Linked DNA regions of Tribolium castaneum. The protein of the gene in region 3 binds, or shares a complex with, the protein of the main gene of each other region. Links are inferred from orthologs where the notes say so. Each region holds a gene or a part of one and is shown on either strand. Other genes may lie near its edges.

Evidence for each region. The genes of interacting proteins can lie anywhere in the genome.
Region 1: Polr2E (region 3) and TfIIA-L share a complex: the UniProt entries of both Homo sapiens proteins name them as parts of the TBP-based Pol II pre-initiation complex. The link is inferred for Tribolium castaneum from reciprocal best matches to the Homo sapiens genes POLR2E and GTF2A1.
Region 2: Polr2E (region 3) and Pdrg1 share a complex: the UniProt entries of both Homo sapiens proteins name them as parts of the PAQosome complex. The link is inferred for Tribolium castaneum from reciprocal best matches to the Homo sapiens genes POLR2E and PDRG1.

What each region holds. Positions count from the first base shown.
Region 1 is NC_087395.1:25,200,869-25,204,391, forward strand, and holds TfIIA-L (transcription initiation factor IIA subunit 1), read right to left. Parts: upstream 2,315-3,523; 5' UTR 2,106-2,314; coding exon 1,618-2,105; intron 1,376-1,617; coding exon 925-1,375; 3' UTR 661-924; downstream 1-660. UniProt on the Homo sapiens protein: TFIIA is a component of the transcription machinery of RNA polymerase II and plays an important role in transcriptional activation. TFIIA in a complex with TBP mediates transcriptional activity.
Region 2 is NC_087396.1:22,907,693-22,910,201, forward strand, and holds Pdrg1 (p53 and DNA damage-regulated protein 1), read left to right. Parts: upstream 1-1,281; coding exon 1,282-1,570; intron 1,571-1,618; coding exon 1,619-1,785; 3' UTR 1,786-1,849; downstream 1,850-2,509. Other genes in the region: Pgi (glucose-6-phosphate isomerase), read right to left, coding at 1-109; Prosbeta5 (proteasome subunit beta type-5), read right to left, coding at 276-587, 635-1,027, 1,074-1,208; Datp (bis(5'-nucleosyl)-tetraphosphatase [asymmetrical]), read left to right, coding at 1,937-2,042, 2,087-2,403. UniProt on the Homo sapiens protein: May play a role in chaperone-mediated protein folding.
Region 3 is NC_087396.1:14,244,090-14,247,404, reverse strand, and holds Polr2E (DNA-directed RNA polymerases I, II, and III subunit RPABC1), read right to left. Parts: upstream 2,060-3,315; 5' UTR 1,950-2,059; coding exon 1,893-1,949; intron 1,843-1,892; coding exon 1,412-1,842; intron 1,357-1,411; coding exon 1,278-1,356; intron 786-1,277; coding exon 720-785; 3' UTR 604-719; downstream 1-603. Other genes in the region: RpL12 (large ribosomal subunit protein uL11), read right to left, coding at 2,901-3,106, 3,304-3,315. UniProt on the Homo sapiens protein: DNA-dependent RNA polymerase catalyzes the transcription of DNA into RNA using the four ribonucleoside triphosphates as substrates.

The DNA of each region.
Region 1 (3,523 bases), on a different chromosome or scaffold from region 3:
ATTCCCAATAGTTTTTTAGTTATGAATTTTTTAAAATTTTACCAATTTTTGCATTTAGCAGCAAATTGCTCGAAAACTATTAGTCGGAGAACAATAATCTTTTTTGAAAAAGATAGATAATTTAAAGAGCTTTCCAACGATAATACACTTCATGGGGTTATCTCTAATAGTTCCGGAGCTATTGCTCGAGAAATGTTCCGGGTACCCAAAACCGACAAAAACTGCGACGAAAATTGAAAAAATCAAACATCAAAAAATCGAACATTTGGACTTTTTGTGGACTTTTAACAACTTTTGTGAGTTGTTAAGACATGTAGAAGTCCATAAAAATTTGCTGGAGTTAGTTTAAAAAAAATTTTTTTTCACCTCTTTGAAGGTAAGTAAGTGTATAACTCAGGAAATTTGAGCAAAAAAATTGAAAATTTTAAATTGCGTGAAAAATTAGTATAATAGAGAAAAAAAGGCGCTGAATCCAATGGAACGAACCGCACTGCTCTACGACTTTTAGTTTTCGAATTATGAATTTTTTTGTTGAATATAATTTTCCATTATAGGCATTGCTCTACGATTTTTAGTTTTTGAGTTATGATTTTTTTTCAAAAGAGCTGCTAATTTGCGATTTTTGTCATCTTCCAGGTGTTAGAAAAACGACCAATGGTGTAACTTCAAAAATAGTTTTATTCACAAACGGCTATCGATAATTGATAATACATAGTAAAAATTTCGATTAAATCTAAACGCCTATTATTAGTTACATTTATAATGGATAACACAATTCTACAACTCAGGCTATTCTCCCATTTTACATACAAAAGTTCAATAACTTAAGTCGGAACCCAACGTTCCCTTGAATAAGTGACGGGTTTTGCGTGCAAGTGACTTGAAAATAATAAAAAAAAAACAAAACTTCTTAAAAAACACTAATTACCATTCCGCATCACCGTTAGCCTTTTGGAAGACATAATCTTGTCCACTCAAGTTCATTATCCCATCTTTCAAATAAAATTTCCACTTATTCCTATTTCTTATGATTTTATCGTACTGACAAACAACGATGTTATCAGTATCGAACAAATCAGTTGGGTCGTCATCAGTCACATCGTCTTCGGAGTTCAGGGGCTCTTCTTCACCACCTTCTTCCTCCATTTCTTGATCCTCTTCGTCCTTATCGTCATCGATATCCTCGTCGTCGTTATCGTCGTCAGACCCGTCCTCATCGTCGTCGGACGTGTCCACGGGGCCGTCCACCTGGGGCACCTTCTTCCTAGGCAAAATAAACTCGATTTCGATTTGTTCCTCCTCCTCCTCCTCGGCGTGGCTTCCGTCCGTCTGGGCGATGTTTCGGTTGACAATGGTCACGATCTGCTGCTGCTGGCTGTTAAAAACACGTTATCTCATAACAAAAAACTACAATTATTACAAGCTTTTTTATTTATTCCGAAGAGAACATTATTAAAAATCCGATAAAATTTTAAACAATAATTAGAAAATTTTTAAAACAATTATTGACAAAAATATCTGCATAAGTGTGCACAAAACATGTATTTTTCTTTGTACAGGGTGACCCGAAAACATTTTGCGTGGACGATTTAAGTTAAAAGGGGGCTAACTGACTACCTGTTAAACACCGCGTTGACGTGCTGCTGGAGCACCGAAGACGCAATATTGGCGGGCAAATTCATCATCCCCGTGATGATCTGCCCCGTGAGCACCTTCTGGAGCTGGTTCCCCTGGAGCGCCGTGGCGGGGACCTGTATCGTGAGTATCCTGGGGCCCTGGTCGCTGCCGGGCTGCGCCGGGAGCGTGATCTGGATGGGGACCATCTTCGTCTCGGCGATCTGCCCCACGGGGGCTGCCGCCGGCTGCGCCACATGCTGCTTGGGGAAGCCGTTGGTGGCGGTCATCTCCGCCTTCTTCGCCTTCTCCTCCTCGCTCTGCACCGCCTTGCTGGCCTTGAGCTTGGTCTCCCAGGTCTGCTTCAGCTCCTGGAGGACCTGCTCGTCGACGCCGTCCTCCAGGAAGATCTCGCGGACGCCGCTGATCACGTCGTCGATCACCTCCTGGTAGATGCGGAGCACCGAAGTCTTGCACAGGGAGTTCGACATGGCCTTGGGGGCGCACCACACTACGTTAAGCTGATTATGAACGGTTTCCGAGAGTGGAAACGGGCGATAATGGCATTTTTACGCGCACATATGCACTTTTGAGGTTAGGGAAATCAGATGGCCGACATTTTGATGGAAAATGAAGGCGAGAGATGAGGAAAATTTTGGGGTAACGGCAGGACGCGATCGGGGATAGTGCGCAAGCGCCGGAATGAAGAGTTTTTATCAATTCTTATCACAAAAAATTACTACCACGACAAAAAAGTCGTATGGTGATTAGTGAGTCGTGGGGTTTTTATGGGTACAAAAAAGAGATTTAAGCAATAAGAAAATAGTAAAAAAGTGGTGTATTGTGGGTTGACTAAAGCACAAAATGGCTGCCCGAATTATTTTACCGCGAAATACAAAAATTAAGTTAATTTACGATATAGCAGAATTTAGCAAAAAAAATCAAAATTTTTAATCTCGTAAAAAAAGCTGGTATAACAAAGAAAATGAAACAAACCGCATTGCCCAACGACTTTTACTTTTTGGGTTATGATTTTTTTTAGTGTAAAACTTTAATTGCCTCTGTAACCGGAACCGTTGCCCGGAGCAGCTCCGGGTTTGGACGAAAAAATAGATAATTTTAAGCGCCATCCGTTTTTTTAGTTTGATTCTCTAAGTCTTAGAGTTTCCGAGAAAAACGCAAATAAAGTTTCCATCTTCGCTTTTTTTCCATTTTCAACTGCCGATTACGGCGAAATTATTAGAGTTATCTAAAAACGGAAGAATTGTAGAAAAGCGCAATAAAAACTCTACAAAATGGCATAGGACTCAAAGCGATATCTCGCAAAAAGTTTTATAATTTTCAATCGCCGATTACGGCCAAACTAAAAGAGCTAGGAAAAAACTCTTTTTTCCATCGTAAAGAGCACATCAAAATCTATAAGAAAGGATAAGTGTTATTTGATTCTGAGACACTTTTAAAAATGGCCATTTTGGAGGGGAGGGAGGTCTTAATTTATTTTTAATTTTTATTATATTCTCAATTACGACTAAACTATTCGAAAAAGGGGAACTGTTTTGATCTTTACCTATGCAAAATGATCCAGGGAATCGATTGGCGTCGAGAAAATTGCCAAATTCCCACTAGTTTTTTGGTTACGAATTTTTTAAAATTTTACCAATTTTTGCATTTATCTGCAATTTTCTCGAAAACTATTAGTCGGAGAGCAAAGATCTTTTTTGAAAAAGATAGACAATTAAAAGAGCTTTCCAACGATAATACACTTCATGGGGTTATCTCTAATAGTTCCGGAGCTATTGCTCGAGAAATGTTCCGGGTACCCAAAACCGACAAAAACTGCGACGAAAATTGAAAAAATCAAATATTAAAAAATCGAACATAAGGATTTTTTTTGAACTTTTAACAACCC
Region 2 (2,509 bases), about 8.7 Mb from region 3:
CTTTCGATTGTTTGGCGATCGTTTTGTGTTTTTCATCGTCGCCGATTGGGCACGCGCAGCGCACGGTGTGATAAATACAAATTACATACTTCAGACGAGAAACTCTCATCTAATTATTGATTTCTCACAACTAATTTTAATTAATCAATCCACTTACCGCAAATTATTAATTAAACTTGAATTTGGATGCGTCATAGTGACAATGACAGGAATGACAGGGAAAAACAAACGCCAACTATGTTAAAAAAATTTATTCAATTTAATTCATTACAAAGCTAAACCTTATTTATTTCCTGCAACTTCTCGTCCTGGTATTTGTAGTGCAAGTCCATACAGTCGTTGTTATCAATATGCACCCAGCCGGTCGGCTTCATATGGTACACCCTGACGATACCACCAGAATAGGCGTCCCGATGGGTGGCATGGTAAATCGACCGGCGCCCCAAATCATACGCCTCCTCATCCGTCAAATCCCACTTGTACCCCGAATCCAGGACGCCAAACGCATAAATGGAGCCCGAGCCAACACTGAAGACTTTCCCAGGGGTTCTGGTCCCCTCCGAATCCACGTAATACAGCTGGGGCCCCTGAACAACAACACTGATCAAGCGGTCTAACTTGTTCAAATAAATACCCTTTTGTCCCATCCTGCCAGCATCATGCCCATTGACAGCCCCATCCCCTTGTAATTATACACCATGTTGGCCATCAGTTTCGAGGCGGCTGCGACCGAAATCCGCTCCCGGTTGCGTAATTCGTACATGCGGCACTGCTTAGCCAGGACGCGGTCCCAATACACACAGTCAGCGGCGCCCCCGGCCAAAGTCCCCAGGAGAAAATCATTGATTTCGACGATTTTCTTCATGGTTTGGGAGCCGATGAATTGGCCCCCCGTGGCTCGGGAGTCCACGGCGAGCACTACGCCCCCCTTGTACATGAACCCCAGCGTGGTGGTGCCGTGGTCAAACTTGATTTTGATGTCCCGACCTGACTCGTCCTTCGAGAAGTAGGCCAGGTTCTCGGCCGGCTGTCACAAATTTGTTATCTGGGGGTATTTTCAAGGGGCTACTTACGTTAGAATAGGGGGGTACGCTGAGCAAAGTGTTGTGGGTGAAGTTGTTGCTCATTTTGGCGATTTCGTTGTCGAAGGGGGCTTCGCGTCTGAAGGTGTCGAAGTCCGACATTCCGCAAATCTCGGCTAAAGCCATTTTGGGGCAGTTTTGTTTGGTTCAAATGACGGTGCGAAAACACAACTAGCACCTAACCTCTAATGTCAAATGGATGATGGTGGTGGTTATGGTGTGTAAAGTTACGTCTTGTTGTGAGAAAATGTCCCAATTCCAAGACGTGCAAAACCAGAAATCGTTTCAATACTTATACGAGGTGGAAACTCTAGCGCAAGACATTTTAACTGAAAAAGAAACAAAGTTGGATTTGTCCAATTCCAGGAATAAGTTTAGGGAAGCCCTGAGGGCCCTGGAGGGCACAGAGGACCGAAGGGCTTGGATGCAGCTCGGTTCAGTTTTTATTGAACGACCGACTAGTGAATGTAAGGAGATTTTAAAAACAGGTCCGCAAAAAATATTTTTTTTACAATATTCTGACCAAAGTTTTTTAGAAATTGCAAACGCTGATAAGGATATTTTAGAGTTGGATAAAAATATTAAGAGCAAAATCCATAAATTAAGGGATTTGGAACATGAACCAAGGTTAGAGGGCTTCACCTTGAAACCCATTTCCTCGGCAGAGGCTAAAGCGTTACATAAAGCGTTCGGTGCAGTGTAAATTAATTAAGATTTTGTCAGTCCCAAGTCCACAATTAAATAATTGTAAATACAAACGTTTCTCAAATTTATTGTTTGACACTTCTGACAGTTTAACCGGTTGAATCTAACCTCACCTTTTAATTTTTAATTCGATTTACGTAAAATTTCAAATGAAAGTTGCGGCCGGCTTTGTGATTTATAAAAAGGCCTGCGATAATATTTTGTATCTTTTATTGCAAACTTCGTATGGCGAACACCACTGGACCCCTCCTAAAGGTAACCTTCAGTTTTTCCTTTCAAAAATAATAATGTTTTGTCAGGGCATGTGGACCCTGGTGAGACTGAGATGGTGACTGCCCTTCGGGAAACGATGGAAGAGTCCGGTTTGAAGCAGGAAGATTTGAAAATCTTCGACGATGTGAAGAAAATTTTAAATTACAACGTAAAGGGGAAACCCAAGAAAGTTATTTACTGGCTTGCCGAACTCACAAACCCCAAGGCTGAGGTGAAATTATCAGAGGAGCACCAAGACTTCAAGTGGTTGAAACTCGACGACGCTTGCACTTATGCAAAATACGCCGACCTCCAAGAGTCGCTCCAGTTTTTCGATAATTATATACGTTCCAACAAAAACTAATTATTGTTATATATTATTAAATAAAAAAATAATAAAATTAATTATTCAATGTGCAACCTTAGCCACTTCCATGTATTTGCGCCGATGAGTCATCTGGCAGATGGCG
Region 3 (3,315 bases):
GCAAAAAACGTAGATCTTAGGATGTTGAAAAAAATTAAAAATCTTTATTATAACCAAAAGAATACAAAAAAATAATTTAAACATGTTATTGTTGTACAGTGTAATAGAGTTAATTTGAAAAGGTGGCAACCGCAGTTATTTCAAAAAGGAAAAATAATCGCCTAAAATGTTCGTCCCACGCCGTAAATGAAATGAAACGTTAAATTTCGGTTTCTATCTACATAGTTTTCCACGTCGCTGGTCGCATCATCGGCGTCGGTAGTCAAACAGCACTGTCGCAGCGACTAAGTTCGCTCCGCTGTCGCCGAGGTTCGGTGGCCAATGGTGAAAATCGCGTAATTGCGTCCGCCCGCATTGATTGGCGATACTTGCATGAGAATGACATCGGAAAACAGACAGACAGAGGCAGGCAAGCCGGGAGCCAAGATCAATATTCGGCGGTGGCTGACAAGTCCTCGGCCGCCCGTATACACACCGAATTATGCAAACCATCTTTAATAGTTAATCAATGAATACAATCACCCCGACGCCAACCTACAGCCCTTTCAATTATTTACAGCCACTACCGGAAAGCGATATCCAATAAGGGCAGCAGAAAAGCACTTTTTAATCATTTCAAATACAAAATTTATTGATCATCAAGCACATATTCAAATACATAAAAAGAGTACAGCTCGCCTCCCTCCGACGACAATGTGACGGTTTAAATTTAAATTAGTTCAGCAGACAAGCCTGTAGGAAATGTAACGTCCGGCGGTTTCCGATGGCCGAATGATTTTAACCACCTGCAACAAAGCAAGAACACAACGTAATTTATTTGCATTATAACCCGCATGTTTCACAGGGAAACACACCTCGGAAACAACCATAAAAAAATGTTATACGCCGGTTATTACTTTTAACCGGTACTTTAGCCACCATTCACGCCGTAAAAAGCGCCCAACGACACCAACATTATTTCCCTTAATAAATTAGCATTATTGAACCGAATTTACCATCAGGTGACAGTGGAAATTCCTTTCATTATTCAATTTCATACATCGCTGAAATAAAACCGGCAACATGGTGAAACAACCTTTTCCTTTATTATTTTTTTTGTTTGATTCACAATTGAATTCTGAATTTTATTTTTAAATGATAAATCATGACCGCCTAATAATATTACAAAAATACTGTATCCAGCGCAGTGTTCCAAACCGCTAACAAAAATCCGTTACCAACTTAAACAGTCTTTCTGAATCACTTCGTACATAATCAAATTAAAAGTGCATTATTACCTGTCCGCGCTTCAGGCCGAAGTATCGCGCCACGGGGTCGCCGGCCTGTATCCTCATCAGCATATTTTCCTTCAATTTGCTGCAAGAGAAAATTAAAATTTTAATACCCACAAAAACCCTAATTAAATACACACTATCTAGTAAGCAATTCCTGCTTTTCCTCTGGTGTCATCACTACATGTTCGGGGACCAGTTCGTGTTCGGTGATATTAATCAGTAATTCGGACTCTAAAAACTGTTCCAATATGTATTTGGGGGCCATGTCCACCAGTGATTGTTTGGCTGATGGTGTCATGCCTTGTTGGACCACAATAATGGCCCTATGAATATTCTCGTCTTGCATCCTCTGACAATACGTTTTAATTGCTTTTATGCCAATTTTGGGCTCGTCGGGAAAGAAAACAAACATTTGGTCGGTGGGATCATCATTGTGAGCCACCAGAATTGTTAAATCGTTACGAGACGGCCGTTTTTCGCTAGGTTTGTCGCCGCATTGCTCTTTGAACTGTTCCAAGGTCTGGTCCAACTCGTCTTGGGTTACTAAATAGCCCCGGTCGTGGCATAACTGGGAAAAATTGCTTAGGTTGAGTGGGAATGTGAGGTTAGGGCGGGTACCTGCATGACTGTCTTACGAATTCGCCACAGTTTATAGGTCTCAGCTTCATCATCCATTTTTTTTAAGTTAGACTAAGTCACAATATTAATTAATTACCGAAAAATAACTATTTTACAACGTTTTCAATGTTTATTGTGGTGCACCATAACTATTGACTTTTGTTAGTCATAATCGGATTTCCGCGAATTGCTACTAACGAAAAACCAAATATGTAAACTACAGTAATATTTTATTCCAACTTTACATAGAAGATAGTTAAACAAAAAAACTCAAACATAAATATCACAAACATAAATAAAAAGCTATCGTTTAAAAAGCTTCGCCCTTACCGAAATTACGTTACGCGTTTTACGTTAATGGCGCCACGTTTGAATCAAAATTAGTTTGTCGATCACAAACTCGCAAGATGTCATCGAATTGCCAGATAATGGACCTTCTCCAAGGCAAGCAACTAGTGAATAAAATAAAAAAGCTAATCCCTGCAGAAGAAGCAATGAAGAATAAGACGATTATAATATTTTTCTTTGGAGCTATGTGGTGTAAATCAGCAGATTGCAAAGTAATCCTTCAGAGATTGAAGGAGCTTCACAAGGTAGGTACGTAAAAAGCCCCCGACGTCTGCTTCACTTGTAAACTTTTACTTAAACAGGAAAATCTTCGCAGAAATATGGGCATTGAGGTGATTTATGTTTCATCTGACACAACTCTTGATGACTTTGACGCGTTTTATAAAACACAAGGTGGATGGTTTGCTGTTCCCTACCAAGACGATTTGGCTGAGTATAAAAAAATTACTCCTTTATGGAACAGTTTTAACAATTTTTTGCAGACAACTTCGTAGAATTTTCGGGATTACAACTATCCCGAACTTAATCGTAGTTAAGAAAAACGGCGAAATTATAACTAAAGCGGGGAGACAGGAAATCGTTGAAAAGGGTTTAAATGTGCTAGTGACTTGGACAGATTAATAATAAAAAAATGTATCAGAAAAGTTTATTTTATAAAATTTACTCTTCAGGTATTTCTACAGAGCCATCATTCACTTCGTCAATAACGTCATGTGGGAGCTTCCCATCTATGGTGCAACCTACAGACTGGGCAGTACCTAAAACTTCCTTAACTGTTCCAGACAGATTTTTAGCCATTGATCTTGGCCTCATTTGTCTAGCAATGCTGATAACATCGTCCAAAGTAATGTTGCCACTGTGCTTAACTACAAAAACACGAAACGTTAGATAATGTCCAAAAAAATAAAAATTATTCTGTACGCCCCCTTGAGTAACATACTTAGTAATTCGTAAGCATGGGTTGCAATTAAGGGCAAGCTGATTTAGCACCTTGTTAATATCAACAAACCAAAATCAATTTGTTGTTCTTAACAGATGCACTCACAAAAATAAAACCACTTACTGTTCTTTTGCT